Linked DNA regions of Schizosaccharomyces pombe. The gene in region 2 interacts genetically with the main gene of each other region. Each region holds a gene or a part of one and is shown on either strand. Other genes may lie near its edges.

The links.
Region 1: mutations in gef1 (region 2) and mde7 together harm fitness more than expected from each alone (negative genetic interaction), as found in Schizosaccharomyces pombe (one large-scale study listed by BioGRID).
Region 3: mutations in gef1 (region 2) and rhp7 together harm fitness more than expected from each alone (negative genetic interaction), as found in Schizosaccharomyces pombe (one large-scale study listed by BioGRID).
Region 4: mutations in gef1 (region 2) and urm1 together harm fitness more than expected from each alone (negative genetic interaction), as found in Schizosaccharomyces pombe (one large-scale study listed by BioGRID).

The regions. Positions count from the first base shown.
Region 1 is NC_003421.2:152,478-159,987, reverse strand, and holds mde7 (RNA-binding protein Mde7), read right to left. Parts: upstream 4,083-7,510; coding exon 1,797-4,082; downstream 1-1,796. Other genes in the region: SPOM_SPCC320.06 (uncharacterized protein), read left to right, coding at 485-737, 795-1,411; SPOM_SPCC320.08 (transporter), read left to right, coding at 7,164-7,510.
Region 2 is NC_003424.3:467,676-475,545, forward strand, and holds gef1 (RhoGEF for Cdc42 (Gef1)), read right to left. Parts: upstream 5,316-7,870; 5' UTR 5,225-5,315; coding exon 5,183-5,224; intron 5,128-5,182; coding exon 2,908-5,127; 3' UTR 2,306-2,907; downstream 1-2,305. Other genes in the region: vsb1 (sulfate transporter), read left to right, coding at 1-500; SPOM_SPAC24H6.10C (phospho-2-dehydro-3-deoxyheptonate aldolase), read left to right, coding at 1,045-2,151; SPOM_SPAC24H6.08 (uncharacterized protein), read right to left, coding at 6,360-7,022; rps901 (40S ribosomal protein S9), read right to left, coding at 7,818-7,870. UniProt on the Schizosaccharomyces pombe protein: Has a role in the control of cell polarity and cytokinesis. Involved in bipolar growth, via modulation of cdc42-shk1-orb6 signaling, and septum formation. Stimulates guanine nucleotide exchange of cdc42.
Region 3 is NC_003421.2:102,497-109,889, reverse strand, and holds rhp7 (DNA repair protein), read right to left. Parts: upstream 4,211-7,393; coding exon 4,154-4,210; exon of another isoform or gene 4,106-4,153; coding exon 2,471-4,105; 3' UTR 2,042-2,470; downstream 1-2,041. Other genes in the region: SPOM_SPCC330.03C (cytochrome b5 reductase), read left to right, coding at 1-19; SPOM_SPCC330.19C (uncharacterized protein), read left to right, coding at 1,553-1,572, 1,633-1,885; rhp16 (ATP-dependent helicase), read left to right, coding at 4,314-7,205. UniProt on the Schizosaccharomyces pombe protein: Involved in global genome repair (GGR) via nucleotide excision repair (NER), in conjunction with rhp16, after UV irradiation.
Region 4 is NC_003421.2:219,973-227,486, reverse strand, and holds urm1 (ubiquitin-like protein modifier Urm1), read right to left. Parts: upstream 4,154-7,514; 5' UTR 4,103-4,153; coding exon 4,080-4,102; exon of another isoform or gene 4,037-4,079; coding exon 3,884-4,036; exon of another isoform or gene 3,801-3,883; coding exon 3,691-3,800; exon of another isoform or gene 3,635-3,690; coding exon 3,627-3,634; 3' UTR 3,401-3,626; coding exon of another isoform or gene 2,315-3,400; 3' UTR 2,165-2,314; coding exon of another isoform or gene 1,844-2,164; 3' UTR 1,728-1,843; downstream 1-1,727. Other genes in the region: hexose transporter Ght8, read left to right, coding at 1-730; ubiquitin-protein ligase E3 Dbl5, read left to right, coding at 1,844-2,164, 2,315-3,400; wtf meiotic drive antidote Wtf4, read left to right, coding at 4,786-4,921, 5,150-5,422, 5,471-5,761, 5,798-5,989, 6,030-6,092, 6,143-6,288. UniProt on the Schizosaccharomyces pombe protein: Acts as a sulfur carrier required for 2-thiolation of mcm(5)S(2)U at tRNA wobble positions of cytosolic tRNA(Lys), tRNA(Glu) and tRNA(Gln).

The DNA.
Region 1 (7,510 bases), on a different chromosome or scaffold from region 2:
TTTGGAGTAGCTCTTTTATGTCTATTTTATGGATTATCCCCAATTACGCGTTAAAAACGCTAAACGGTCTTTAAATTGTCCCTTCCTATTCTTGCAATGTTGAGACTATTTTTGTTGCCTCTCAAATCAATGGCAAAATGCTTATACTTTGCTTTCTATTTATTTCCCATAGAACTATATATCTATGTATATATATTTTGAATAAAAATTAGAAATTTTTATAAATTGGCTTTTGTAAGTCAAGATAGAGTGTATAAACCTCTATTCGTTTTCATCTAAGCTATACTAACATCCTAAAAACTCATGTTTTCATTCAGCCTTTTTCATGTACAGTGATCATTTAATGAGTTGAACCGTGCCTCACTATTCATCACAAGTGATTCGTTAGGGCTCGAGAAATTAGTTTATTGAAGTGTAACGATTCCGCAAGTTCCTTTCTATTATCTAAAGAGAAATCGGCATTTGGTTGCTGTCGTGTGCCACGATGGTTCTCATTTCAAATACATTGCATTGCGCGGATGCTTATTCTAGTGCCGACTCAAAGCATGTTCCACTAACTCTCTCAACCAGAAGGATAAACCTACAGTCGTTCCAATCCATTTCTGCTCGTAACTGTGGATCCGATGCGCGTGTTTTAGATTTTGTTAAAAGTATTGACAATGACAATTCATGGAAAAGAAGGAACCTTGATTCCAAGAGAAACATCGGTTCGAGGAAAAAGAATCGTTTCCTTAATGGTATGTTTTGGGTCGCTGTTCGCATTTTTGAAACTATTTACTAATATCGACTCTCAGACTTGCATATATTAAAGCAAGCAGCGGATGATCCTGATGAGGTCGTTTATAAGGATTTATTTACCCACAGACCAGCTTTTGGTTTTTTAACCGTTGGAGATGAGTTTTACAAGGATGGAGTAAATAATATATCTTCATTGCTAACATCATCATCGAACCAGAGGTTTAACGACAATCACCATAAATCCATTGTTAAAAGGATTAGACATGAAATCAAATGTTACAACTCTCTGCAACTAGTGTTGTTGTTGGACGAGTGCTTGAATAATATTATGAACGAAAAGCTTTATGCTTATGACCACGACCATTCACCAGCGATATATGCTTCGGAAAGCTTTAATATTAAAGCAGAAATTGATACGTCTTCTTTTTTGGAAACGCAGAGAAGCTATCGAATTTATATGTTAATTGATTGTCCTAGCAATCCGAAAGCAACAGCCTTCGCTCGATATTGGATGCATTTGATTTGCTCATATTATGGTATTTACACTACTTCTACACAAATCTTATCAAACAAAATAATGACCCTCGGTGTTTCTAAAAAACGGAAGCATTTGTCATTCAAAACTCTTTCCGAACTTTTAAACCATGACGAACTAACAAACATAAATCGTTAATTCGACTTTAAATGGAAGACGTCGTTAAATTTTATTGCGTTATAAATTTTATTCTACATTTTGCAACCAAAGTGTGAGATCAAGTTTTTTCCAATCTAGCTTAGTGAAGGCTGACAGCATGTTACTTTGAATTTCAATAATTGCTTACCAAATTCAACCAAATTTTTTATTAATTATGCTAGTTATTATTATTTTTTTATTTTTTTTCTCAATAATTGTGGAATTTTTCACAAAGGATAAAATAATTCTGTCATGCAACTGATTCTGAATGTTAAAACTAAAAATCAAACGTTTTGACTTTGTATAGAAATAGAGTCATTTTCTTTACATAGCCTTAGCGTGCTCTTTTCAATAGTGTTGACTATTGAAGAAAAACTCACCGTTTCTATTTGCTAGGAAACTCAAAAATATCAAACAAATCGTTCACTTCCGACGAGTGAGTTTGGGTCCTGTTTAGTGTGGTGACACTGTTGGTTCCATTTGGTTTTGGAGTCATATTTTGAAAATGGTATTTTCGTTCAACAGCAGCGGATGCCTTTGCTGAGTAGCAGTCCGTGCTTTTCTTCGGAGGGCCGTGTTGTTGAAAAAGGGATGCTGTGGTTGAAAGGTTTTCGGTGGAGCGGACACCAAGTGGATTTTTGGAATAGCTTAAGCGAATGCCACCTTTAATTTTATCGTCTAATGCAGCACCTTGCATTTTTTCCATTGCTTTCGCAGCATGGCAAACTTCCTCAAATTCTACAAAACACATAGGACTGTTTCCCTTAATTTTGAAACATAGTCTCCGATACCCCTTCTCTTTTGAAAAAGCCAACCTAAGCTTTTTCTCTTGGTCTGGGTTGGACAAATTTCCCACATAAATTGTGTTACAGGGTGAGTTATGATCAGTTTGCACATTGGACTCTACTTGTTCCAATAGCACTTTATTATCAAATTCTTCTTCCTGAAGGCATTTTAATTCACAAACACGGACATATTCGGCGCTCCTTAAAGGGCGTTGTTTTAATGACGGGCGTGAACGGACTACTTTAAGGTCTGGCATAGGCTTCCACTTGGGCGGCGGCCTAAGTTCACTTTCATATGGGGCAACACCATTCAGTGGAATTGTACGTGGTCTTATAGCAGGTAGCTCTTTAACAGGGCTCGTACGTTCTAATCGCAATGCCTCTTCAAAAGGATTTGATTTATCGATAGCTTGTTTTGAAATAAAAGAGTTGTCTTTATGATAACTTGGTCTTGAAGGTAAAGAAAACTTTGCTTTGGGCGAAATTGCATTTGGATGATTAGGTTGGTAATCGAACGACGTTTGTGCAAAGTTATTCGGCTGATTTGATAAAGAATTAGATTCACCAATATTAGCAATATTGTTTGGCAACTGTGAATATTTGGCTGTGGGGTTTGTTAATTCATTGCTTGTAAATTGAAGCCCTTTGCTATTTTTCTGCGTTTGGAAAGAATATACGGCTTGCTCTTTAGAAGATGGCTGTAATAGCCTATTATTCCAGTTTGAAGGTGAAGGGTTTCCCATTGATGCTCGTGATTGATTAAGATATTCAGCTTTAGGAGCCTTTATTGGGTTGAACGATTTAAAAGCTTCCAATACCGCTGGATACGAGGTGGACATTCGTGATTCTGAAGTAACGTCCTTATTGATGACAGAATCAAAATTTGCTGGTGAAAACCGAGGAAACCCAGGCGTTGTTGAGTCATAGTTATTTGACAGGCGTTGGGAATATAAACTTGGGGTAGTCAATGGTGGAATGCCCTTGTGATATTCATTTTCTTGTTGCCTTACAACATCCCTTTGAATAATGGTGAAATTGTTTGTAGAAGACGCGTTTAACATGTTTTTTGCCTTTAATGCAGCTATTGCGTTCCGAAAGTATACAATAGCTTTTCGGTGCCCATTTTCACTTTCGATTTTTGAAAAATCATATCCTTCGCAGAATGTGAAAATTCCACTCAGCTCTCTATCATCAAAATCGTCCGGCAAGCCACCAACAATTTGAATGATAGAAGATTCTAAATCATCATTTGAAGCTTCACTAAGGGAGTTAGATCCAGAACTACTTTTAGAATGTACTGATTTGTCGGTATCATCAAAGTAATGTTCCGGTACCAAGCTAGGTGTTCTAGCCCGAAGATTTGGATTCAATAGAACACTTTGATCCAACGAAGGGATGGCATTTAGCGTTGCAATTGAAGATCGACTATCTGAAAGAAATTGATTTTGGGGTGGAAAATTTGGAGAGCTGCCTGTGCCTTCGAAACTGTTAGAATTGTATGCGGAATTCCAGCAATTATTGCTAATTGAATTATTTGCAAAATTACCGGAGTTTGACTCCGCAGTGCCCTGTAAGTAAGAGTTGTTCCTTGAAGGCACGGGCAATTTACCAGGACTTGATCCTACTGGGTTAAGCAGAAAAGGAGTTGTCGACCTTGCAGGTTGCTGTGTTTGTGTATATAATAAATTAAGCGGATTTGTCGTTGAATTCCTGGACAGTGGGGGTTTATTAAATGCTCCTGAACCATGAAGCAAAGAGTTGGTCGATTGTTGTTCTGAAAGAGAACTATGGTTAGGTTGAGACAATCCGAAGGCGGCAAGTTTATTTGCCAGGTCATCAGATTTCCCTGCTAGAGGTTGTCCGTTTAAAGCATAAAGTTGACTCATTATTCAATTAGGGATAATTAATAAATGAACGTGGCGGTACTAGAAACAGAAAATGCAAAATAGAACCAAAAGTATTAAAGAAAACACCTGTTTTACAAATTGATTGGGAACACCTCGATTTGAATCGTCGCAGGCAGCAGTTTTATAAATAGATCCTCCAAGAAGTTAAGGAATCAACAGAATATTAAACAGTAAATTCTTTCGTTTGAAAGTTATTTATTGTTTGTAGATGAAAAATTAAAAAAAGTGGTTTTTTTTGATTGGATACTATAAAATATGTTTTTTTTTGTTTGTTTACCTCGATAAAAAAACAGAGAAAATATAACGTTCAAGGTAACAAGACTGAGGTATGCAGAAGTCAAAAAAGAGATAGACAAACAATGCTTGTTTAAAATGCTCAAATCGGTCAATAGGCCTAGTGAGAGAACGGAATTTGCTTATGTCGTCGATGTGAGGAGTCAACGAGAATTTGAATTTCAAAAAAAAAAAGGAATTGAAAATGAAGGCTGGATTAATAAAAGATTATCGAGATTGTCAAAAAAGTAATGCAAAAAAGAAAAAGGCAGTCAATGTGTGAACGAGGTAAAAAATACTTAACTCGTTACTTGAATAATCTGATGAAAACAAAAATGTCGGAATGCTTTAATCGGCAATCGGTATTTAATCAAATGTTAGGGAACTTGAGACTATGCTTTATTTAAAAAAATAAAATGGTCTGTTGCGGGTTCACAGAAGGATGTATACAGGTTAACTTTGCAAGGAAGGTACGGTGATTTAAAAAGTTACTCTTTTAAGCAATGAAAGAGCGATGTTATAACCAATTAACAAGAAGGTTTACTAAAAAACCTGAACTGAATGACTAGAAATGGATGGTGGTAGCAAGGAAAGAGAAAGAATAGAATGGTTCTAAAAGTGGAATTTAATGTCAAAAATTCCTCGTATATGGATTGGAAGGGAAAAGAGTCAATTATTTCCAGAAAATATCTTCTGTATTGCTTCGCAGTATAAGATACACGAAATTAGGCTTTTTAGGACAAAGGATTAGACACGAGAAGATTTCTGAATCAAAAGTTAATTTCAAGCGTATGCGATGCACTTTATATGTATACGTTTTTGGAAAGCGGGGATGGAGGCTATTCTCTTACTTTAAATATACTCGATGATTACAGATTATTGAGTAAAAGTAGTCCTATGGAGGTGTCGAAGCAATTGAGTCATATTTTAATCAACACTCTAGACGCAGCACTGCGATCAAGTGGTGTTTATAATACTATTATTATTCTCCTTACGAATTTGCTTTCAAAAATAGAAAGATAAAAATAATTTACTGTCAACTATGAAGGTAAACTTTACGCCTTAAAAGTAGTTGCTGTAACATGATTTATGTTTGCATCAACCTTAAAACCGCCTATTTGCTGTCTATCTTAAAAGAAGCATATTCTTGTCAAAAAATATGGACAAGCAGTTCTTTTAATAAGGAATGAACTGTTTAAATTCACTTCGCTTTGCATGCTTTGACTTTTGGTTCCGTTTATTGTAATGTTTACATATTCAAGTACGAACAGATGATCAGAACTTGTGACTAAATTGCTCTTGAATAGATCAATATTAGAGAAGAAAAGTCTCGTTTCTCCTCATTTGCCTCGTATGGAAATGAACTGGAAGGCTTGGCAATTTCTAATATCCCAATGGATCATCTGCATGCTTTTGACTGCTATGATAGATGAGTGATCTCAGGAATGGTGGTGACAATTTTATTACACAGAATGACATAACGCAATTTCGTTAAAACCCCTAGCAAGCTTAATGAGTTCGGAACGACGTAAAGTCTACATAAGAGCTTGATCGTTAAATTACAGTATGTTAGCTTGCAGTTACGCAGTTTGTTACAGATTTAAGGATGCGTTAATTTTGATGGCTTGTAAATACTTGAGCAATAAGTGTTATTGATATGTCTATAATAAATTGATATTATAAGCTGTATATGAGTTGCTTAAAAGACAAACTAAAGAGCCTAGATTTAACCAACTGAATCGGAGCTAATTTCTAAAAAGTTAAACAATCTTGGAGAAGCTTATGCTGTGGAAGGGAGGTACCAAAATCATAGTTCAGTCATACGCTTGATTATGTTCACGTACTGTATGTCTGATAACAAGTGGCTTAGTTATTTTCTATCTTTTCTAGAGAAACATTCACTTATCATATTGACATTTGCTTCTTTATTCTTGAATATTCGTAGCAGCAAACAGGAGGACCGGACATAATAAACTGTCTTAACATTTACCAAATCGTTAATACTCGTGATACATGCTTAGCTGTTTTAATTGTTTATACATGTGTTTACAAGTTTAGTATCTTGATTCGTTTTCTACGTTACCGGCTCATTTGGGATGAACCCCAAAATATCGATTCCCATTAATTTAAATATTTATGTCTTACACACTTCTACAAGAGGGATAGAATACTACATAAATCAAGCTAGTTTTCCCTAAGTTATTTATACAAAGTCTTTTTACGTATTCTAACAAACAGTATTTTTTTAGCGTCGAGATTCTTATATTTAATACTAGTCCATAACATTCATCCCATCTTCATTGAATTTCTCTTAGTGCTGTAATAAAAAAAAGCAACACATTTCTTCTCTCTTACTCGCTTTTTTATTTCATTTCATCTAGAAGCTGGAAGATTTCTCTCTTCACTAAAATTAGCACATGTTGGGTAAAATCGGCCCCCCTACAAAGAATAGCAAGCCAACTCAGGTATTAATTTCAAAAGTCGAGCTTTTACTATTAATTTACTACTGCATTTGGAAACGATGAATGTACAAGCATTTAGCTCTAAAAGCCTTCGCTTTCGCTTCAGCTTTGTTAATTTTTGCATGTTATACATTCGTTTAACTTTACTCATGGTTATATCTCACATTGTTACTTGGGCAGTCACGCCAGGTTACAGCACTGAAAGAGGTTTTCCATGCGATGTTGAACTCTCCTTCTCACTTTTTTATTGTTTTTTCAATTTTTTCTTTCTTGAAACAACATTCCATAAACAGTGACTTTACTGAAAAGTGATCTGTAGATAGGAATGGTTGACGGTTCGATACACGTGCCAGTGCAAAGTCACGAGGGCCAGCACGATAACTCCAGTAGTTTGAATGAAGAAATTCAAACTTCACAAGACCCGCTAGGTATTGTAGAGTCATACCAGGAAAGCAGTACTTCTGACTTCGATAAAAGTCATTACACTCATAATTCCTCAATTGCTGCCGCCGATTCTGAGTATGGTAGCGCATTCATTCAGGGGCAAAGCTCTAATGGTTCAGAAATCAAGAGTGAGAGACCCTCTATCGACAAAAAACTAGACGTAAATATTGATTCTCATCCCATTGAGCCACCACCGTTTGAACATGATATTGGCCTTCCTGCTTCTCA
Region 2 (7,870 bases):
CTGAAACAAAGGAGTTATCGAAATTCGAAAAGTACGCCAAATACGAACAACCTTTCCCATTACTTATGCAAGTGTTTGGAGAGATTACCACTAAGCGAGAAGATTTTTGGCTTGGGCTCTGTCCATTCTTTAAAAAGGCGTTCTTGAGAAAAGGAGACTTATTATGGAGAAAAGGTGATACACCTTCAAAACTTGTTATTTTGGAAACTGGGATGGTTAAGGCTTCGTACCAAATGGATAGAGAAAGCTTATCTGAAAATATCACATGTTTGTGCGTTGTTGGAGAACTTCCATTCTTCAGTAAGACATGCTATAATGCCACAGTTGTAGCTGAATTAGATTCTGCTGTATGGATTCTTGACCGAGAAGGATGGGAGACTATGTTGAAATCTTCTGACAAGGCTGAAGTCATTGAAAATGAAATGTTATATTTAACTTTGAAAATGACTCGAGACAAATTTAATGTATTTACCAATTTTGCTCTAAATTTGTATCGATAAAATTGTTCCCAATTTATCAAAACAATAATTCTGCATTTTGGGTCATTTAAAAGCATAAAAATAACACCTGAAGAGGCTTGTCATTTAATTATTGAAATTGTTTTTTTGTTAAAACATACTCGACGCTTGATATCTTTTGTCAATCCCTAATTGCCTAATCAATTTATTTTGTTTATTAGGGTAATAAAATTTATCTTCTAATAATAAAAGTTATCGTTCTTATGCTTTTTTTTTTTTGCATTTGTTCATGATAGTCGTTTTGTTAAGCAGGAATAGTTTATACTTACTTTAATACTTTGAAAAGACTTCGAAATGTTAAATTGAAGCATTCATTTTAATAATACATGCTTACAAAAGGATATTGTTTACCAGTTTCTATTGATAGTTGGAAATATAATGTCCAAGACTTATGACAGCGCAGTAGTTTGTAACTCGTAATCTAAAGTAGCGAAAATTGATCTCGTTAAAAAATTTTATTACAGATGTCTTGAGAACTACATTATACTAATGGCTTGTCTTCTACAAGTTAGAAAATCATTAAGAGATGGACAAGCACACTCCTCTTCTTCCTGGCGACAGTGTTTTTTCACGTTGTAAAACTGAAGATAGTCGTATCAAAGGCTATGATCCAGTAATTTCACCTGCTTTAATTCAATCAGAATTAGCAGCCTCTGATGAAACACTTGCTTTTGTGTCGGATCAAAGACGCCAAGCCGCCGATATCATTGCGGGACGTGATGATAGACTTCTTCTAATCGTTGGACCCTGTTCTTTACACGATCCTGTTGCCGCCAAGGAGTATGCCATTCGCTTGCAAAAGGAGGCTATTAAGCACAAGAAGGACTTGCATATTATTATGCGCGCCTATCTTGAAAAGCCTCGTACAACTGTTGGATGGAAAGGGTTGATTAATGATCCCGATTTGGATGGATCTTATAACATTAATAAGGGTATTCGTGTCGCTCGACGCATTTTTCTGGAGCTTCTGGAAACTGGTGTCGGTATAGCGTCAGAGATGCTGGACACTATAAGTCCCCAATATTTAGCTGATCTAATTTGCTGGGGCGCTATTGGTGCTCGTACCACTGAGTCCCAATTGCATCGAGAACTTGCTTCAGGGCTTTCTTTTCCAATAGGTTTTAAGAATGCTACTGACGGTAACATTGGTATTGCTATAGATGCTATGAATTCTTCTGCCAACCCTCATCATTTCTTGTCTGTCACAAAGCAGGGTGTTGTAGCCATTGTTACTACTACAGGTAACCCTGATACACACATTATTTTGCGTGGTGGTAAAAGTGGGACTAACTTCGATGCTGATTCAGTGGCTGGTGCCAAGGCTAAACTCGAAGAATGCAACAAGCTACCTAGTATCATGATCGACTGTTCTCATGGAAACTCATCTAAAAACCATAAGAATCAACCCAAGGTTGCTGCTTGTATTGCTGAGCAGGTGGCAAACGGTCAGAAAGCAATTACTGGTGTCATGATCGAATCTCACCTTAACGAAGGTAAGCAAGCTATACCTGAGGATGATTTGTCAAGTATGAAATATGGAGTCAGTGTCACCGATGCTTGCATTGGTTGGGACGACACTACCGCCGTTTTTGAACAGTTGGCTGCTGCCGTCCGTTCTCGTCGTTCTCATTAACCTATAATGAAGGTTATTGAGACAGTTTTATAAAAATAAATTTTTTGGTTTCTTGTATAATAAATTTGTATTTGCCGTAATTAACAGTGTGACTTTTAAAAGGTTATTTATCGTACTTATCATTGCACTTTATCGGATGGTTCCAGACTGTTTCATCGTAAGTATTTTTATTTACGTTTTGGTTTTACTACGAATGTAAGAATTTGACCTGTTTTTGTTAGTCAACTAGGATAAATAACGACGAACAAAATTAATTCAATCAAAACCTAATTACATATTTTAAACATAAAACATAGTTAAAGTGAAAGTCAAATATTATATACATTATTAAAGCATATAAATGAAAAGTGGAAGCGTATGAACAAATAAAATGGCATAACAGCAGAAAAGCCAAAACGTTCCTAGTTTAAAAAAAAAAAGTGAAAAGACAATAATTAATAGCTCGACTTGAGCAGACAAAAATAATGAGATGCATAAAAGGAAGGCGTAAAAGCGTTTAGAATCCTAATTTGAAACTAAACTTAACAGGCCTCTGTGATAGACAAAAAAAGACCGTTAAAAGAACCTAAACGAATTGTAATCAGACAAACGCAGATATTAGGTTAAATAAATGTAATTGTGATGTTAAATACATGGAAGCTGCAAAAAACCATGGTCCAGAGAAACGTTTTCATCATTCAAGTAACATGAATGCAGTATATCTAAATGTGTATATATATAGAACAGATAAAAAATATTCGACTAAAGAAGTTGCTCTTAAACCCTCGCAGCTAAAGAGACACTTTTCATTAATTCCTCCAGCAATACCTCGTCATCATAATGCATGGGTTCAAAGGCTCGAACTAACTCTGCATAATCTTGCGTTTCTTCTAAGATGCTATCCCTCATGTCTTGAGGGATAAGAAACAAGAAACCTTGAGCGTAGTTTTCATAGAGAGAGCGTTGAATACCAATAAAATGATAAACAACACTGTGAAATTCCTTCTCAACAAGAGTAGAAATTGCCTCAAGCTTTTGAGCAGGAATCACAAATTCAGCGCTGATAATGAACTGAATAACTTTTTGAATCACTCGTAGGATATTTGTGATTGGGTTAAGGATAGAAGAATTTAAAGACGTTTGTATTTGAGAAGGAAGGTTAGCAGTCATCATGTGCGCAAGTAAATGATACTTACGCCACGTATCTACCGGCTTGTCTTCGGGCTCTAAAGCACTAAGCCCTTCAAGCTCTGCTAAAACCTTTTCAAAAACCGAAAATCCACGATGTACAGTAACGTACCACGTTTCCAATGTAGCATGTAAGGCTTTTAATATAGCGAATCGTTGTCGAAAATCTTGAAGCACTTGGCGTTGAAAATTCAATCGAGCATCAGTTTTTAACTCAGTAGATGTAGTGGTGGGCCTAGATTTATTCGATGTTGCTTTATAGAGTAAACTCCAAGCAGCGTCTCGTTTATGAGAAGCACTTAACGACCCACGCTTATGAGAAGGCTTCTGCTTCTGGTTTATACCAGATATTAACTCCTGTAATAGTTGATAAGAAAGGACCAAATCTGGGCGCTCAGAACTACTTTCAGGAGTAACATCAATGATTTTTTGCAATAATAGGGGGTACTTGAGTAAGCGCTGTAAAGGTTTAATTATTAAACTACCCAAATCCCAGGCGTTCGTGTATTTTTGAACTATTTTATCACCCTCCATAATCCAGGATGCAGTTGCAGGTTTCTCTCTCCATTTAGTGATAATTTTGAAAACCGAATCTTGACGGTTGCAATAACCAGTATAAATTTGACCGATTTCAGAAAGGCTTTCTAAAAAAATAAGACCTAAATTGCAAGGAAGAGGATCTATAAGCTGGGTATCCAAGTTTACACGCCAGGAGCCTTCACCAGCTTGATAAAGTCGACTATGGAATTCCACAGTAAAAGTTAATAAAGACTCTATATCGCCAAAAACTGTTTGGGCGTCAACTGGATTCAATGCACTGCATTCTTTGACCCGCAAGCCATAACTTTGTTGAATCGCAATGAGATCGTTTAAATAGGCAGCTTCAGTAGTAACCAGCTCTTTAATCAAATTTGCACGCTTTTTAATACGCTTATATTCTGGATTGATAGAACTGGCTTCAGACATAGCAAGAGATTCCTTTGATAAACGCTTACCTGGTGTGCTCGGTAAAGAAGTAGTGGCATACGAAATTGTTCGGCTGAGAGACTCATCAGTTTCCAAGGCCAAAATAGTAGAGTCCAACTTAGTAGAAAAAGAAGTAGTATCAAGAGGTGAAAGGAGGGACGCTGTAGACGAATGAGAGGAAGGCATACTTGCCAAAGTCACACTGGAACGCTTTTCTTGTTCATCCGTAGAGCTACCAGGTAGATACGCCGAAGTCCTGTTACTGCTAGTTTCAGAGGAATTCTGTGCCATAAAAGACCCTAGGCCGCTAACTCTTCGTGAAGTTCCATTGCTACTCGTGTTTGTATGTATTTTTCGAAGTGTTGTAGGACAGTTATATGATGGGGAACTAGGCAACGAAGGCAAAGTATATCGGCTAGACTGAGCATAATCTTGACGATTGCGGTCCCCATAAATACGATTAGGGGTTAAAGTAGAACTATTAGAGGCTGTAGAATCCCCATTTAATGAGTGGCTCATGTTGGAGTTTGGCAAATTGAAGGAGCCCTCCGAAAAGAATCTTCGGTGCTGAGACGATACGGGAGGAGTGTTTGGAGTTTGGGGATCTTGTAAAGCACGAGCAAAGCTTGCTCGAGACCTCCTTCCACTACTCAACCTGTATTCACTCTGTGATTCTGAAACATCGCCATCAGTGTCGTCTGATTGTCGGTAAGAAAGCGAATAACTGTTAGAAGGAAGGCTTAAATTGATAGATTTTCGTTTAATACATGCAGCTCGATGAAGCTTGCTTGTTCCAGGCAATCTTGGTAAATCCCTGTTTGCCAAGGTTTCAAAGTACTCAGGCTGATCAACATTGTTAACACATATACACACATTCAAATCAAGTATAAGGACATACGGAATCGGACATATCCGAAAGATCTGCTTTTAAAGTCTCCATATTGAAAACATTTGGAGAACAATAAAATGAATGACAATTTTGGAAATTTTGTTTACATGAATTTTATTAGGTAACGTTGTTGGTAAAGCACAGGTTTTGGAGATTTGGCGCCAACTTCTTCTTAATCCACTTTCAATACCTTCCACTTCCTTATCTTCATTACCAATGCATAACGTAATCACCCACGAAAAATAGTTTGCCAAAAATAGGCTTGGCTCAGCTTTTTGAGCGCCAACCGCGGACAGAGGCAGTTTACCTTTGTACTTGGTTTACAAATGGTTGCTTGCACAGGTACATAGTAATATGACTTGAGTATTCGATTTTGTGATAAACATTTACGTATTTACAATTTGTAATATAAGGTTAAATTTATTCATGTCTCCCTTTATGAAATTCTAGAAATGACAGCAGTTAAAATAAATTCCACTGTTACGGTTACAAGTTAATAAATTTGTTATTTCATTGTTTTAATTAGCTTAAATATTTAGAGCGGTTTTGTTTTCTTGGTAATGCACGTAATTTGCTTTGTTTTTTTTTTTTTTTTTTTTTTTTTTTTAATAAGTAATAAACATTAAAGATGTATATAAACAGAAATGAGAGAGAAGCGGCAGTTGATTGTCTTACATAACTTTGGTAAACACTGTATAATTTTAAAAGAAAATTTTTATTTTTTTTAATAATTACTTGAGGCTAATACGCTGCATTTTCTGTCTGTAGTACTTTTTTTCATATATTCAAAAAATCACGATATCTAATACTAAGTGTGTATGATAAACAGACCTAGTCAAAATTCCTAAATATTCTACGGTGTTCACTAAAAACAAATATAATGTTTCAGTAAATTAAACTAAAAATACTATTAATCGACAGGCCATAAGAAAAATATATATTGTAAAAAAAATGGAAACTTCCATTATATCTATTAAGATTTCTTCTAATTTCAAAAAGGAAGTGTTATTAAATCCTTTAACTTGTAACTTCGTTAGCGTCCGACATAGCTAATCATGCTTATAAATGGTTTGTTAAAATGCAAATGAGTAACATCATTAAAAATGATAGAATTAAGAAAAAAAGAGCATTAGTGTCATATAACTTGCAGCAGGAAGATTTAGAAAATATATAACAACATGTAAAGCTAGATAGCAAGGTTTTCAATTAGAGTCTTCAAAACTGGACACCAGCGCACACAATTAGTTACAACACCGGCACACATAATTTCTACAATAAATGCCTTCGCCTCACTAATGTTTCCTGTCAACGCCAAGCGACATGTTTGCGATAATTTTTGTAGCCAAAAGCCTTCCATGTTTTCTAGTTGACCTTGTAATAGTAAATTCGTTTTGACTCGTTCACCCAACATCTTATGAACAGAATCACTAAGATTTGATTTACTTTCTATAATTTGCAATAGGGAGTGCCTGACATCTTCACAAGAAGCTTCGTTCATACAATCGTTTGTTGTATCGTTAAACGTGGTAAAGATATCATTGTCACTGCTTTTCTTCATCAAGTTGAGAGGATTACTGCTAATTTGAGGAACAGAGATATTCGTGGGAGGAACAGATATACTCCTGTTCATAATTTTTGAAGGTGAAAAAGGAGGAAGTGGTGATTTACTAAGTACTTGACCAGCTAACGGTTTGGGTGCCAGCATGTCATCACCATAAACCAAACGTCTACTCGAAGCCGATTTCTTTAAACTTGATGTGGAAGACGTTCGTTGAGTTTGACTTAAAAAGATACCAGAAGAAGGATCGTTCCAGTGCACCTCAATTTTCCCAGTTTGATGTGAAGTCATGTTGTGTTGACGCAAATAATGTTGTTCTATGTTTAGTTTGTTTAAACGAACGAAATAAATAAGAATCTTTCTATCTCGACCAAAGAAACTGGCTGGTGTATTCCTTTATAGCAGTTCAAGAAGGTTTGTGGTAGTGGATAAGAAGAGACGAATGCAACATTGCCATATATCACATGTTCAATAAGGTGATTTCAGCAGCGGAACTATTAAAAACAACGGTAGTAGGAAAAAATGGTAAGGTTATTATAATAAGGATAAATATAAGTACTTAGAGCATCAAAGTTCGTAGCTGACGAATAATATCGACATTTTGGTGTAGTAAAAATTACCTACTCAGTTTTTACAATAGCGCTGAATGTGCAACGTACGGGAATATCATAATTAATACAATAATGGATTTCAAATAATAAAGGTCAGCATATTGCAATGGCTCCGATGTTTGAATAATTATCCATTCGAGCGATAGAAGTAATTAACATTTAATATCCGTAGAAGCTCAACTACCATCTAAAGCCTGAAAAACTTAATCAACGACCTTCTATTTAAAATCCGTTTATTACCTGAAGCAGCTTTTTTACAAAACAAACAACAAATTCATCATATTACTCATATGAAATAAACTGACACTACAATCTTACATAATTATAATCTACACATTAAGTACAATAATTAAAATTTCACAAAACAAAATTAACCACTATGCAATCAAACAAACTTCTTTATTAGGCAGATAGAAGCGGCTATGAAGAAATCCCATTTAGAAATGTATAGAAGAGAATGTCACACCTGCTTAATTTACTCTTCTTCGGCTTCTTCTCCTTCACCGCCCTCTTGAGAGCGGAGACGTT
Region 3 (7,393 bases), on a different chromosome or scaffold from region 2:
TGTTGGTTACTTGGTGTAAACAAGAAGTCAATTGCCAACGAAATTCCCTATACCCTTTGAAAACATAGCAAAGTGGAACAATATGTATCTTTGTGGGTTGTGATCCTGGCGAGAAACATATGGTTTTGCTCGTGTTCTGCTTACACCCATGTCTAAAAATTTTTTCGCATATTTTTTATGACTGATATTTTTATTATTCGGGCGCAGAGCTTTGCTATGTTTTAGTTTCAAAGAGTTCATGTTTAAATATTTAAATCTACTTAACTTTTTATCCCGCTTTGTGTGCTTACAAGAGAGTATTGTGTATGATCAGTTATAAACTTGTAGTGTATTTGGTATAAAGCTTTGATTTGTTTAAAAAATTCCGTAAAACAATGATCGCATTAAGCATTGACTAGGGTTCTTTTAATTTTAACAATCGTATTGTTTTACTGTTGTAGCCGTATTTTCAATTGGTTTTAATGGAATGAACGATGATGAGACACATAGATTAATAGTTGAGAAATTCGAGCGAGTAAGCTTGGAATTTTGATAACCAAAGAAAACAAAATCTGAAGTAATTCAGCATATCTCATTTTTTCGCTTGTCGCTCATCTTATTGATCAGCGAAGCACTTTAAACATAAATAGATCTAAATCACTTGTTCAAATGTTCACTGTATTTATTCAATCTATTCATTCTACCGGATTCAAAAAACCTTTATGTCACATAATATATATAACAAGCCCTTCAATTGCTTCTGAAACTGAGTTTAATGACTTGTTTACATAAAAGTCGCAACTGCGAATTCTTTATTCAACACAGCCAAGGAAGTTCAACATAACTAAAGTTGTTTTTAACTATGAGTTGGTTATAACACATTGTCGAATATTCATTTGTATGTATGTTGTACTATACAATGATGAAGGATGTTTTATATCGTTTGTAAGTTGAGACTGCAAAGTTGTAGTTCTGCTGTCCCCATTTCTTTAATATGTAAACTGATAATTAACCAGAATATATGTGAGTAAATAAATGTATGTTATCTGTTAGCTACGCAGTTTGATATCTGTTTTAACGATATATAGAACTGCGGTGAGTTTTTACTTGCGATCTACAATGTAGCGGTATGCGGTATGTTAACTAACAATATTATATTTATTGTTATAAGAAGTCTGTTAGTATCGGTCACCGATATAGCTCATAACTGAACTGTGAAACGAGGTTCAGTAGAAGCTCCATTTACAATCTTACTAATAGTTTTTATCAACGGGTATCTATAATACAATGTAGAGCTTGTGACATATAGAAATACGCAACATGGTGTATCATAGAGTAGTCCAGTATTGCTGACATTATCTCCGCTTTAACAATCGTCCCTTTAGCTCTGCAAAATAGATAGTATATAAGGACTAGGGCCTGCCTGGCTTAAGTGAACTCGTTTTCTGGAAGAAAGCCCATTCATTCTCTGACCATTTGCTCTATATAAATTGATATTTCACAGGTTTGAAGATAGCCTCTTTCAAGATGTATATTAATCAAGAGGAAGATAATCGCATATCTTTAATGGAGAATGGTAGTCTTGAACAAAAGGTACGTTTAATCATTCTTTTATAATAAATCAACGGCTCACTAAGTAATTCTTCTTTATAGTGAGGCTCATGACCGTAGTCGTAAACTCGAATTATTAAGCATTAGAATCAATATTTTCGGTTTACAACTCAATATTATTATTAATCTCATACCGCTTGTCTTGCTTTTTGCTTTTTTTTGCCCTTGTATATATTTTTTGCATACTTTTCTGGCGGATTGTGAGATAGCCAAATCGACTTGCATAACCAGTGTTTTCAATTGTTTGATTTTTCATATGCCCAACTTGTCGGGCGATTGGAATATTACAGTTTGAAAAGAATGTTTGCAGTTTAAAAAGGATAAATATTTATGTTTGTTTGATGAGCTTTGCGTTTCCGAGCAGCAGTAAACCTCTTTAGTCTGGCAAGCAATACCATTAGTGTACTATTCATAATCTTATGCTATATAAAATCAAGGTGATTGAAAATTACATTGCTTGATATTTGTATTACAACAAAGAGCAGCGGGATTTTTTTTTTAAAAAAAGGTAGTTAAATTGTTTGATTATGTGTAAAAATGATTCGGAGATCCATTCGTAAAGAGAGGGAATGGTAATAAAAAAATAATTCATTACCCAAAGAAATGGTTAGCTATTTGTTCGCAGACCATATCATCTAATTTGAAAATAAATAAATAAATAAAATTAAAAATAAAAAGGTTTCAAATACAAATATTCGTTAAAGAATAATATCAGAAAGACACAAAAAGAGATTGAGGCTGTTCAAGGAACTTAGTGTCCATCAAATAAGGTGATAATTTAAATAATGTACTAGTCATTAAATTTTTCAAAAGAATAATTACAGGTCCAATTCAACAACCAAAACCTTTGATAAAATTGAAAAAGAAAGTATTTCCATCCTTATTGAACTTCACGCCCTATCAGAAGTAACCGATTTGAGGGCATCAGGACATGATTATCTCCCCATACCAAAAGCTTCTCAAGCGTTGGCTTTTTGCTTTCAAAATCGCATACCAATTTGTCATTCATTCCACGAATCCAGCTGACATCAAGTGCTTTTAGCATAGGTAATGGAAAATTGACAATATACTGTAATGCTTCATCAGTCACAAACGACATTCCATTTAAATCCAGAGTGCGAAGCGTATGCCCTGAATTAACCAATACTGCACGAACAGTTTTATCTCCAAGTGACAGACACCTTCTTAAGGACAATGTTTCTAAGCCTGACTGAATCTTCCATTCACCAAAAACTATAGAGGCCTCATCATCTGTTAACAGTTCCAAACCACTTAAATTTAGATGCTTAAGACGACCACAACAAGGACCTATACCTTGTTTCAAAACTTCATCAGTTAATTTTGTACAACCAGATAAACTAAGAGTATGCAAACCGCTTCCAATTTGGTTTAGTACATCTAATATACTTCCATCATTAATGATGCCGCCTGGTGATTCAATCTTCAAACTGACAAGATTTCTACAACCAGCTAATAGACGGACGCATTCATCATCAAGATAGAAAATTCTAGAGAGATTAAGGCTAATCAAATTTGGGCAACAGTCAACTATAGCGTTGATAACCGAAACATGAATTCGGGCAGTATCCGTAAGCTCTAAACTTATAAGCTTTGAACCCCGTTTTTTAAAAAAATTTATCCATTCTGAGGAAGAAACCAAAAAGGCACCTTGAAAAGATACATCTGTTAATTCAGTCAAATGATCCGCATAAAAGTGTAAAACTTGATCCTGCATTTGACCACAATAAGTAAGATGCAAAGTTTGAAGATTTGGGCAGTATTGAGCAATTTGGAAAAGTGAATCTGCTGTAATCTTTGAGCAATCATATAGTTTTAATTCAGTTTGACCCCCACTTAAGAATAATTTCACAGTAGTATCGTTAAGAGAGCGGTTTTTTGAAATTATTTGGCTAATTTTGTCCATATTCACTTGGCCAATATCCCCAAAAGCTTCGATATCATTTATGTATTCAGCAATAACTCGTATACACAAATCCTGAAGCTTAGGAACACTGATTTCTTCGTCCATGGTAGCGGCAGCCACCTTTTTACGGGTCAATGCTTTTCTTTTTCTCGTCCTTAATTCAGGTACCGATCGATCTTCAGCACCACGACTACAAGGATAACATAGCCACCCTTTCTCTGAATTGCTGTATTTGCTGTATGGGGTTATTGTAAAGCGACAATTACAGTGTGCGCAAAAATCTAGTTTGCCCGTATGCTCCCTTGCTTTATAAGAAAACCCAGCTCTTGAATTCATTGAAAAAGTGTCCTCGTTGTCTTCAGCTTCTTCATCCGTTTTCTTCTTCTTTTTTTGATTTCGTAGATTTCGTCGTTTCACTACTGGTATCTCAATTGTCGTTGTCGACATCGAGTTTTCATCTTCGTTGTTTTCTTCAACAGAAGTCGGTGTTTGAATAACTTCTGATTCTGTCCCAGTCGATTGCCCTGCTGACTCCTCGCTTTGACGAGGAGGACGAGCACGTCCTAATGCTGAAGCATTGATACCTTGAGACTGAATAATGCATTAGTAACTCCGAGCTAAGAAAGAGTCATCACATACTCTTAAAAATTCTGTTAAAGCAGAATTTGGCCCTCTCACCCGACTTCCACTTGACATTTTAAAGAAATCCTTAGTATGCTGAGGATAAGGTGGAAGTGTGGTTGAGTTTAATTAAATCGCTTCAGATCGCGTGGCAACTTGTCTCATACCAACCACTACTATGCATATATCTACTCTAAAAGTGGACCAATTACAAAATGAAGCTGTAGATATTAATTCAAACGATACAATTGATTCCATAAATTGGAAAAATACTCGCAATAACCATACTACTCAGGCGTCTCTTCAAGCAGACAATAATGATGAGCAAAGTAATGGGCAGGCTCCATTTTCTACTACTTATTCAGAGATAAATAACATTCATGATGTACCAGGCAATCAAGATGAATGGTCATCTTCTCCCATTGCGGGCATTATTGTAGAAAGTGAAGATGAGGAAGTGGTTGAAAACAATTTACATTCACAAATGGGGACGTCATGTAATAAAATAAACTCGAATAGTAATAAGGGAAAAGAAAATATGCATTTTGTTCTAGATGATAATGGTGATTCAAAGGGGAATGCTTCAAATCAACAAGTCGAGCGTGACGACAAGTTAGATATGGAGACAACGCGCTGGAACGGAAAAGAGTTTGAAGAACCTCTGTCAACAAACAAAAAATTGATTATCCAGTCAAACAACACCTCATCTCAACATTCGACACCCCCATTATCCATTTCTGATACCAGTACACACACCGGTAGCAGCACAGACAATGTAGAAGCAAATCCCAATACAGGTTTTTCTAGTGCCAGAAAACGTTCATTAAGGTCCTCGAATTTGAAAAAAAAGTTTGTGCCATTGTCATCTCCAGAAGAATCTAATGAATCCGAATTTATTGATGATGATGAAAGTGATGAAGTTGCTAGCATAATTGATATCAAAGAGGATGAAACTTTTGATAGTAAAGTAGAAATTCCAGAAGCTGCTCCAAGTTCTTCTACGGAAAGTGATGAAGAGTCAATCCCTTTAAGTTACCAGTCCAAACGAAGGAGGGTATCCGCTAGGGCTTCTTCTTCCGCGTCCTCTTCCTCTAGAACACAAGCAAAATCAATTCCATCACATGAAAGAACCCATTATCGTCTGATTCGACAACATCCTGAACTAGAACATGTTTGGGAGAAATTGGAAGAAGAAGCACCTCGTGAAGTGAAACAGATCGAGCAACCCAAAGAGTTGGTCCTAAACCTTCTCCCTTTTCAACGAGAAGGTGTATATTGGTTAAAACGACAAGAAGATTCCTCTTTTGGTGGAGGAATCTTGGCCGATGAAATGGGTATGGGTAAGACTATTCAAACAATTGCGTTGTTGCTTTCAGAACCTCGAGGTAAGCCAACCTTGGTTGTTGCTCCGGTTGTAGCAATTATGCAATGGAAAGAAGAGATTGATACACATACCAATAAAGCACTGAGTACATATCTTTATTATGGCCAGGCTCGTGATATTTCAGGAGAAGAGCTTTCGAGCTATGATGTTGTACTAACGAGTTACAATGTAATTGAATCAGTTTACAGGAAGGAACGCAGCGGATTCAGAAGGAAAAACGGTGTTGTAAAAGAAAAGTCATTACTTCATCAAATGGAGTTTTACCGAATTATACTTGATGAGGCCCATGGTATCAAATCAAGGACTTGTAACACTGCCAGAGCTGTTTGTGGCTTAAGAACGACAAGAAAGATATGTCTTTCAGGAACACCTTTGCAAAACCGTATTGGAGAATTATTTTCACTTCTTCGGTTCCTACGGGCAGATCCTTTTGCTTACTACTATTGCTTGCAATGTGAATGTAAATCTCTGCACTGGAGATTTTCCGATAGAAGTAATTGCGACGAATGCGGCCATAAACCAATGAGTCATACTTGCTATTTTAACGCTGAAATGCTAAAACCAATACAAAAGTTTGGATACGAAGGTCCAGGAAAGCTAGCTTTTAAAAAGGTGCATTCTTTATTAAAACACATTATGTTACGTCGAACAAAATTAGAGAGGGCTGATGACCTTGGATTACCTCCTCGAGTCGTTGAAGTGAGGAAAGATTTATTCAACGAAGAAGAGGAAGATGTATACCAATCTTTATATATGGATTCAAAAAGAAAATTTAATACATATCTTGCTGAAGGTGTCGTTTTGAATAATTATGCAAACATTTTCCAGCTAATTACACGAATGCGCCAAATGGCAGATCATCCTGACCTGGTGTTAGCTAGCAAACGAAAAACAGTTGATATTGAAAATCAGGAAAATATCGTCTGTAAGATTTGTGACGAAGTCGCTCAAGATGCTATAGAATCACGTTGCCATCACACATTTTGTCGACTCTGCGTTACGGAATATATCAATGCAGCTGGTGATGGAGAAAATGTCAACTGTCCAAGTTGTTTCATTCCCTTAAGCATAGATCTTAGTGCCCCTGCTTTAGAAGATTTTTCTGAAGAGAAGTTTAAGAATGCATCGATTTTGAATAGAATTGATATGAATAGTTGGCGTTCATCTACAAAAATTGAAGCATTAGTTGAGGAGCTTTACTTACTTCGTAAGAAGGACCGAACACTGAAGTCGATTGTTTTCTCTCAATTTACTTCTATGTTAGATCTCATTCATTGGCGACTTCGAAAAGCCGGGTTTAATTGTGTAAAGCTAGATGGTGGTATGACCCCCAAAGCGAGAGCAGCTACTATTGAGGCTTTCAGTAACGATATTAATATTACCATTTTTCTAGTTTCGTTGAAAGCAGGTGGTGTTGCTTTGAACCTTACAGAGGCATCTCAAGTGTTTATGATGGATCCTTGGTGGAATGGAGCTGTACAGTGGCAGGCAATGGATCGAATTCATCGTATTGGACAAAAAAGGCCGATAAAAGTAATTACCCTGTGTATTGAAAATTCCATTGAAAGCAAAATTATTGAACTACAAGAAAAGAAAGCTCAGATGATACATGCAACCATAGATCAAGACGAAAAGGCTTTGAACCAGCTTTCTGTCGAGGATATGCAATTCTTGTTCTCAAATTAGAATTTTGTTTTTTTAAAATTAGCCCAAATTTTGGCCGTTTCCTTTTTATATACCTGCCATATCTCCCTTTGCATTTTTTTTGTTATCCTAGTTTTTTGGACCGTAATTCCCTAAGTCAGTATATGCGTTTTGGAAGTTTATTTATTTTTTTGGGGATTCCTATTAATGGATATAATTTATTATTGAGT
Region 4 (7,514 bases), on a different chromosome or scaffold from region 2:
GATTCTTGATGCCGTTAACTTTGGATGTACGTTTGGTGGTCTTTTCGTCCTAGAGTTCTTTGGTCGTCGTATGCCATTGATTATTGGTGGTGTTTGGCAATCCATTACTTTCTTCATTTACGCAGCTGTTGGTAATCGTGCTCTTACTCGTAAGAATGGTACCTCAAACCATCGTGCCGGTGCCGTTATGATTGTGTTCTCATGTCTTTTCATTTTCAGTTTTGCTCAAACTTGGGGTCCTGCCGCATACGTTATCGTTGGTGAATCGTATCCCATTCGTTATCGTTCCAAGTGTGCTGCCGTCGCTACCACTGGTAACTGGTTGTGGGGTTTCCTTATTACTTTCTTTACTCCCTTCATTAGTGACTCCATTGGATTCAAGTATGGTTATATTTTCGCTGCCTGTAATTTGTGTGCTGCTTGTATTATTTTCTTGTTTGCCCATGAAACCAAAGGTCTTACCTTGGAAGAGATTAACGAACTGTATCTCTCCGGCGCTAAGCCCTGGATGCCTAGGCCCGAGAATCTCGGACAAGCTGCAAAGCAACAACAAGAGGTTCTTGAAAAATCTCGTGGTGTTCAAGGTGAAAGTGCCGCTCATCTTGAAAACGTTGACAATGAGGGTATGGAGGATACTTCGAGTAACGACATTACATCTTCTACCTCTTCTTCTGAAGGCCGTGCTAAGCCTGAGTCTAACTATGTTGATGAACAAGATCGCTACGCATAAGTTTGTTGACCGAAAATGGCAATGCTTTCGGTTTACACGAATCGGTAGTTTTTAAATGTTATTTCTTTTTAATGAGTATGTGTTTTTTGCTGATTCATCCTTCATTAAAATCGAATTGTATAATTGGATTTTGGCTGTGCCAACTTTGAGAGTTATTTTTTATTTGCATTTCCTTTGTCGTTGTTATTCAAACTGTTCCGTCCTTTCTGTTAGAGATATTAATATTAAGTTGGTGTGCATGCTTTTTAACTGGTAATGTTTTTATGAGTGGCCCGGTCCTTATTACTATGGAAAGGCGTTGATGAGGAACTGGCAGGGATTGCATTATAATTTTAATAATAATGTAAACAGATAATTTAGTTAAATGCTGATAGTTTTTTCGTTAAGGATTAACAAAAATTAAACAGTTCCTTATTTCTAATGTGCTATTACATATCGTTTTGTGTATTGCGAATTGTAGACATTGAGTAGAAAGGTATGCTGAACAGTAAATAAGCGTAGTATCTAATTGTTGATATGTTATTTAATCCTTGAATGTTTTTGAATAGCATTCGTTCAATTTATTTACCTGGTTAGAACGATGCAAAAAAAGGTTTCCGGTAAGTAATCAACGATATTTACGAGTTAAGTCGGGAGACGTTCAATTCTACTTAGAGTGAAACATTGAAAGCTATGGTTGAAAATATTATACTTAAAACTATACGTGAAATGCCATCGGTGCGTATCTGTGAATAATCCTCATAAAAATCCAAGCTACAAGAAAACGCTATTAGCCATGCTTGTTGAACGCAATCGCATTTTGTAACGTTAAATAAATTTACATATGCCCGAGATTACACTGACTACAAGTCACTAAATGATATTTATGATAATACCAGAAGAATTTGATAATGCAGTTGTAAACCGCTGCATTGCAATACGCAGAGTATTTGCCATCTACAAGAAATATATAAAGTACAAATCAATGGTTGATTTGCTTTGAAGAATTTGCATATAATTCGTTTTTTTAAAGGATTTTATTTAAACTTATTATTTTGATAAAGCTTTCTCTCCGGATTAGAAACGTTAGAGCTCACATACCAAGTTCAATAGTAATTTATCTGTCTGGGCGCAATGGTTAAACGCAGTTCTCATCGCCAAGTAGTTTTGGATGAAGACGATGAAGAAAATTATAATAATAACTTGGACGATGAGAAAATGGAGGTTCTATTAATTCCACAATCCAACAGCACAACTTTTGCGTCTAGTGATGCAACTCAAATGTACAAAAAGTCTCGCATTAGCAGTAATTCAGAAAATAAAAAACAAATCCCCGATACAAAAACTTTGCTCGAAACGTTCCAGAAAATAAAAAAAACTCTGGAATGTCCCATTTGCACAGAAGCTTTACAAAGACCTTTTACCACTCATTGCGGTCATACATATTGTTACGAGGTAAGTGAAAATTTGATGCTTAACACTGGAATAACTTTTCATTATCATTGAATTCCCTCATTGTGAGTGAAATATTGAAAGAGCAAGATTATATCTTTAAAAGTTTCTAGATTTACTTTTTTTCTATAAAGGATTGAAACTAATAAATAGTGTCTTCTAAATTGGTTAAAAGAGTCAAAATCTTGCCCAACTTGTCGCCAAAAACTGTATACACAACCTTCACCAGCATATCTTGTATATGAAATAATGAATGTGGTTGCTGCCTCAAACAGTGGCTTCCCACTTGTGGGAATCAATGAAAATCCAGCAAAGAAGCAAAAGGAGGTATTGTTTGATGGGATGTTTAAACAAGAAGATTCTCATTACCCAAGAAGTATCCTTGTTGATTCTGAAGATGGAGTTTTACGATGCGCTCGTTGCCAATGGGAATTGGAAAATCCGTACCATTGCGATCATTGCGGTTTTCAAATATCGGATGACCAAGATTCTGGTCGTGAATGGTTTTGGGATGGAGAAAATGCTGAGAGTGATTCCAGCCTAAATGGCGATAACACCCGTGGTGGGAATATCTCGACTAACCGCGCATTTAATAATATGGGACATGCGCCAATAACTGCAGTACCACAAGATTGGCTGAGATTTGACGAAGGAGAAGAATTTGTGGGGTCTGATTTAGAATCTGATTTTTCTGGTCCAGGTGAGTACGATGTTGATGATGGATTTATAGATAATCGTGCTACAAGCCAATTATCTCCTGTCGAAAGTGACGATGACTTCGTAGCTCCTGTCAATGGAAGTAATGGAAATGGTATTACTGCTTTGGATAGCACAGATAGTGAAGAGATTGATATTATGAACGGCTTCGATGAAGAGCGCGACTCTGGAGGGACGAATATGGTATCTCGATCTGAGACCTGTTATAACGATGGGCAAAGATACGATGAGTTACGAAGAGAGCTTGCTGACATTCAGAATGAAAGTTTGGATTCTCTCAATTCTTCCTCAAATAATTCTCCTTCTCATAACAATATTCATTCCAGGCAACATCCATTCTCATCAGATGAGGATGAAGGAAATATTGTAACTAATGGAACAGGCCTCCGTAGTTCACAATCATCCAGCCAGAATAGAGGATTTGATCTTGAACCCTATTCCGAGGTATTCACTGCAAGCTATCCACGTCGGCAAGCTCGGCGAACTCGTACAATACAACTAGACTCTGACGAAGAATCATAATTACTCAACTCTAACGAAGAAAAAATTATACCGAGAAATCAAGTAACCTTAACCTGGTCTATGGTTTCTGTTCATGATGAATGATTTAATTGTGATTTGGATTTTGGGTCTCTAGAGCATAAGACACTAAAATTTAGCATACATGTCGGATTTATGACTAAAAAAAAAAATTCAATACTAATGATATTTGTGCATGTTTGTTTTGTCTTATAATTATACCTGCCATTTAACCTCCTAGTTGATACAATTAGTTTTAAATATTATAAAAAAAATGCTAAATATTGTTTTACCGTGTAACGTTGAGACGAATACAACTTCGTCACCTTCTTCGAGGTTATATTCTTCCTTTTCAAGAAGTTCCCAATCCTGGTCATTTACTAAGACGATGATCCCCGGACGTCTGCAGGGAAGTGTTAGTTCTGCAAAATCATTTAAAACATCGTTTGAGCCTGAAAAAGATGATACCACTCCATGTTCACTTACACAGTCCCATTTAAAATAAATAAATCTTTTTGAGAAGGCTTTTCTATTATTTGAGCCATATAATCAATCAATGATCCCAACTTAGTTGAGCCAAGGTTTGAAAGTGACAACGACAACGCTTTCTGCTTATTGAAGAGCAAGTCAAGCCCACCTCTACAATAATAGGTTACCAATTGTAATAAAATATGACACCTACAGTAACTCTACTTTTATAGCCATTGTTTTTTAAAACTTTGGGGATTCGTGAAAGCAACGCAAAATGTACGTTCTAACTGTATATTCCACTGTAGTTGTTAAAGAGTGATAGAAATTCAGTGTCATGTCAGCTACGCAGTTTGGTATCTGTTTAGCGTGTTTTATGACTCACTACGTTATGTATCATTATATGTCACACGCTAACCACCGTATTATGAATACCCGTTGATAACAACTGCTGACTCGATTCCTCAGTTTAGTTATTAGATATATTGGTATTCGATACTATTAGACTTCTTATAACAATAAATATAATATTGTTAGTTAACAGGGCGCATACCGCTATATTGAAATTACTAAAAACCTCACCGCAGTTCTACGTATCCGTAAATCAGATACCAAACTGCGTAGCTTACATTTAAGGAAAGCTAAGTTGGGGTGAATAAAAAAGGCAGTGACAAAATAAATGTGTCAGAAGCAATCCACTGCCTCGTTCAGTTTTTTCGTTCTTCTTTTTTTATGCCATTGTTTGAAGGAATTAGTTGGAAATTTGTTTGAACAATTTTATTATTTTGTTAAAAAGTCTTTAAAGTGGTTGGAATTGGACTACAGAGTGAATATTCTTGATTTCGCTGTTTCGTTTGTCGCAATCACAACAATTGAACTATTTGTGTGTATATCATTCAATAATAGATTGTTTCTAAGAAATGAAGAATAAAGATTATCCCTTGAGGTCGTCTATGGATGAATTGAGTACAAAAAACGATAATGAAATTGATTTGGAAAAAGGTCCTCTCCCAGAATACAATTCAGAAGATGGGAGCACATTGCCTCCATATTCAGGTAAGTGTTGTGTTGTTGGTGGATAAGATAAAGAATTGAGTGTGTCAAGGATTATTTGCTGTGTCTGTTTGTTTTGATTTACAATGTTTTTGTTGTATTTGTTTGTTTACAACTTGACATATTACGAGCATAAATTCGTCTAACAGGGCACACACTTTCTTCCTTCTACATCATTTTAAAAAAAAAAAACCAAATTTCAAAAGTTATTTATTTTATTAATGCTTTCAGAAATTTGGAAATATATTAAAACTGTATCTGAGGATTCAAGTACAGGACCTACAGAAATTGCAAATCCCAATGTCGAAAGAAGACAAGAATTCAAAGATTCACATCCAAATATATATTCCCTTCTGAGACTACTAATATCAGTTCTTGCAGTTATTGTTGTCTTTTTTACTGCATGGGTTTGTGTAAACCCGTTGGAGAAGTCGATATTCGGCAAGGTAGCTTTCTCCGTCACAATTGGTATAACATGTCCAATAGTGTTTATTGTTATTTTCTGTAAGCTATGCATGAAGTTGTTAATATGTCCATTCACTAACTCATTAGGCTTCTTTGAAACTTGGACCCAGGCAGTGGCACAATGTATAAAGGTGACTGTAATTTTCTTGGCACAATGTGTAAAGGTGACTGCAGTTTTCTTGGCAAAATGTGTAAAGGTAATTGCGGTCGGTTTGTATAACTCAAAAAAAGATTTGGTGGTTACAATCTGGCTCGCATGGGTAGTCATTTGTTTTATACTCTTTGGTTGCGTCAAGGATGGTAGACTAAACTTAAATAAGGCACTCATCTGTTCCACATGCAGTATTTCGGCTGCTTTATTTTTCATTTTATTGCTTGGTAAGTGAAATTATCTTGCTAAACGCTAACATACAGTTTGTATTCCAATTTGGACACTCAAGCATATGCTTTTTGGTTTGTTTCAAGTGCTGGGTGTACAAAGTTGTGTCGTTATTGTAACGAAAGGTTTGATGTATTTATTTGATAAACATATCGACGCGACAGGCTACGAAATTGAAGCCTCTTCACTCTTTGTTATAGGAAATTTTCTTTTCTTTTACGAAATGGGTTCGTTATATATTCCTGTAATTTACTCTAACCATACCAGAACGTCCAGGTGCTCTCAAAAGGATGCCCAAATTTATCGGGAATGGTATAGCTTCTTTCCTAGGTATGTGTATTCAACCAACTGTATGAATGATTTTTTACTTACCCGACTAGGAGGTTTAGGAAATGCATTTGGAGGGATAGGAAATGCATTTGGAGGGATAGGAAATGCAATTGGGCGGATAGGAAATGCGTTTAGAGGTGCCAACGATAATAATGACATTCCCTTGGGAGAAATGGATGTTGAAAGCGAAGTCTAATTGCTTTATTAATGTGGTTGTCGCTCCAGTTGGAAAACCTCTTTACCAAAATCACCAACGCAGAGAAGCTGCGGCGTTTTTTAAAAATAAGCACCAACATACTTTAATTATTCTCTTGCCTTATAAGTTTGTGAGATATAAGCTTAACTCATTCTTTCAATTACCAAAAATTGCCAACCAATGCATTCTACGATGTTGGATAATGTGCATTGAGGACCGAAGTCTTTATTTATTATGTATGCGAGTCTAATTATGTGTCTTTTTTAATGATACTCTACGCTACAAACAATAATGGTTTAACTTGTTTACGACAACTTAAAATCAACTAATGAAATCGGAAAACTCGTTGTTCCGCCTTGTTAAATTCACAATTTCATTTTCGTTTATTGCATTCATTTCTCCTTCATCTTGATTCTTAATGAATCAAGCTTAATTATCATTTTTTCCATTTGTTTAATGGTTTACTTTAATACAAACAAATTTCAATGTTTACGAAATAATGAATAGCATAATAAAATATTGTGACTCAGAACGATGATTTGTTATCGTAATAACCTAAAGACATATTGCAATAGTGAGTATGTAATAACGCAGTAAACGTATATACTGGTTTTATGTTGAGTTTCTTAATGATGCATAAGGAAATCTAAGTTGGGGTGAATAAGAAGGGCAGTGACAAAATAAATGTGTCAGAAGCAATTACATTTTGAAAATGAGTTTTGGAATTTTACTTTTCACTTGCTATTATTGAAAAAACAGTTTGCTTTGAAACGACTATTGCTCATTTATTTATGTTGAACGGCGGGAACTGAACTCCAGAGTGAATATTCTTGATTTTGCTGTTTCGTTTGTCGCAATCATAGCAATTAATTCGCGCATGTGTTTTGTTAAATAAAGAATTATCTTGATGAAACGAAGAATAATTACACTTCCTTGAAAAGTTCTATAGATGAAGAAGATGAATTGAAGACAGATCATGAAATTGATTTGGAAAAAGGACCCCTCCCAGAATATGATTCAGAGGAGGAAAGTACATTGCCTCCATATTCAGGTAAGAATTGTAAATAATAAGAAAGGAATTATTCAATTGAAAGTTGAAGCTTGCCATCGTAGTCAAATTGCATGCTTTGGTCATTGTTTACAGTTGGCCATGCAATGCACACACTTTGATACATGCTTTTTCTTAACTAAAGTCTTTCAATCATATTAATTTAAACAGATCATGC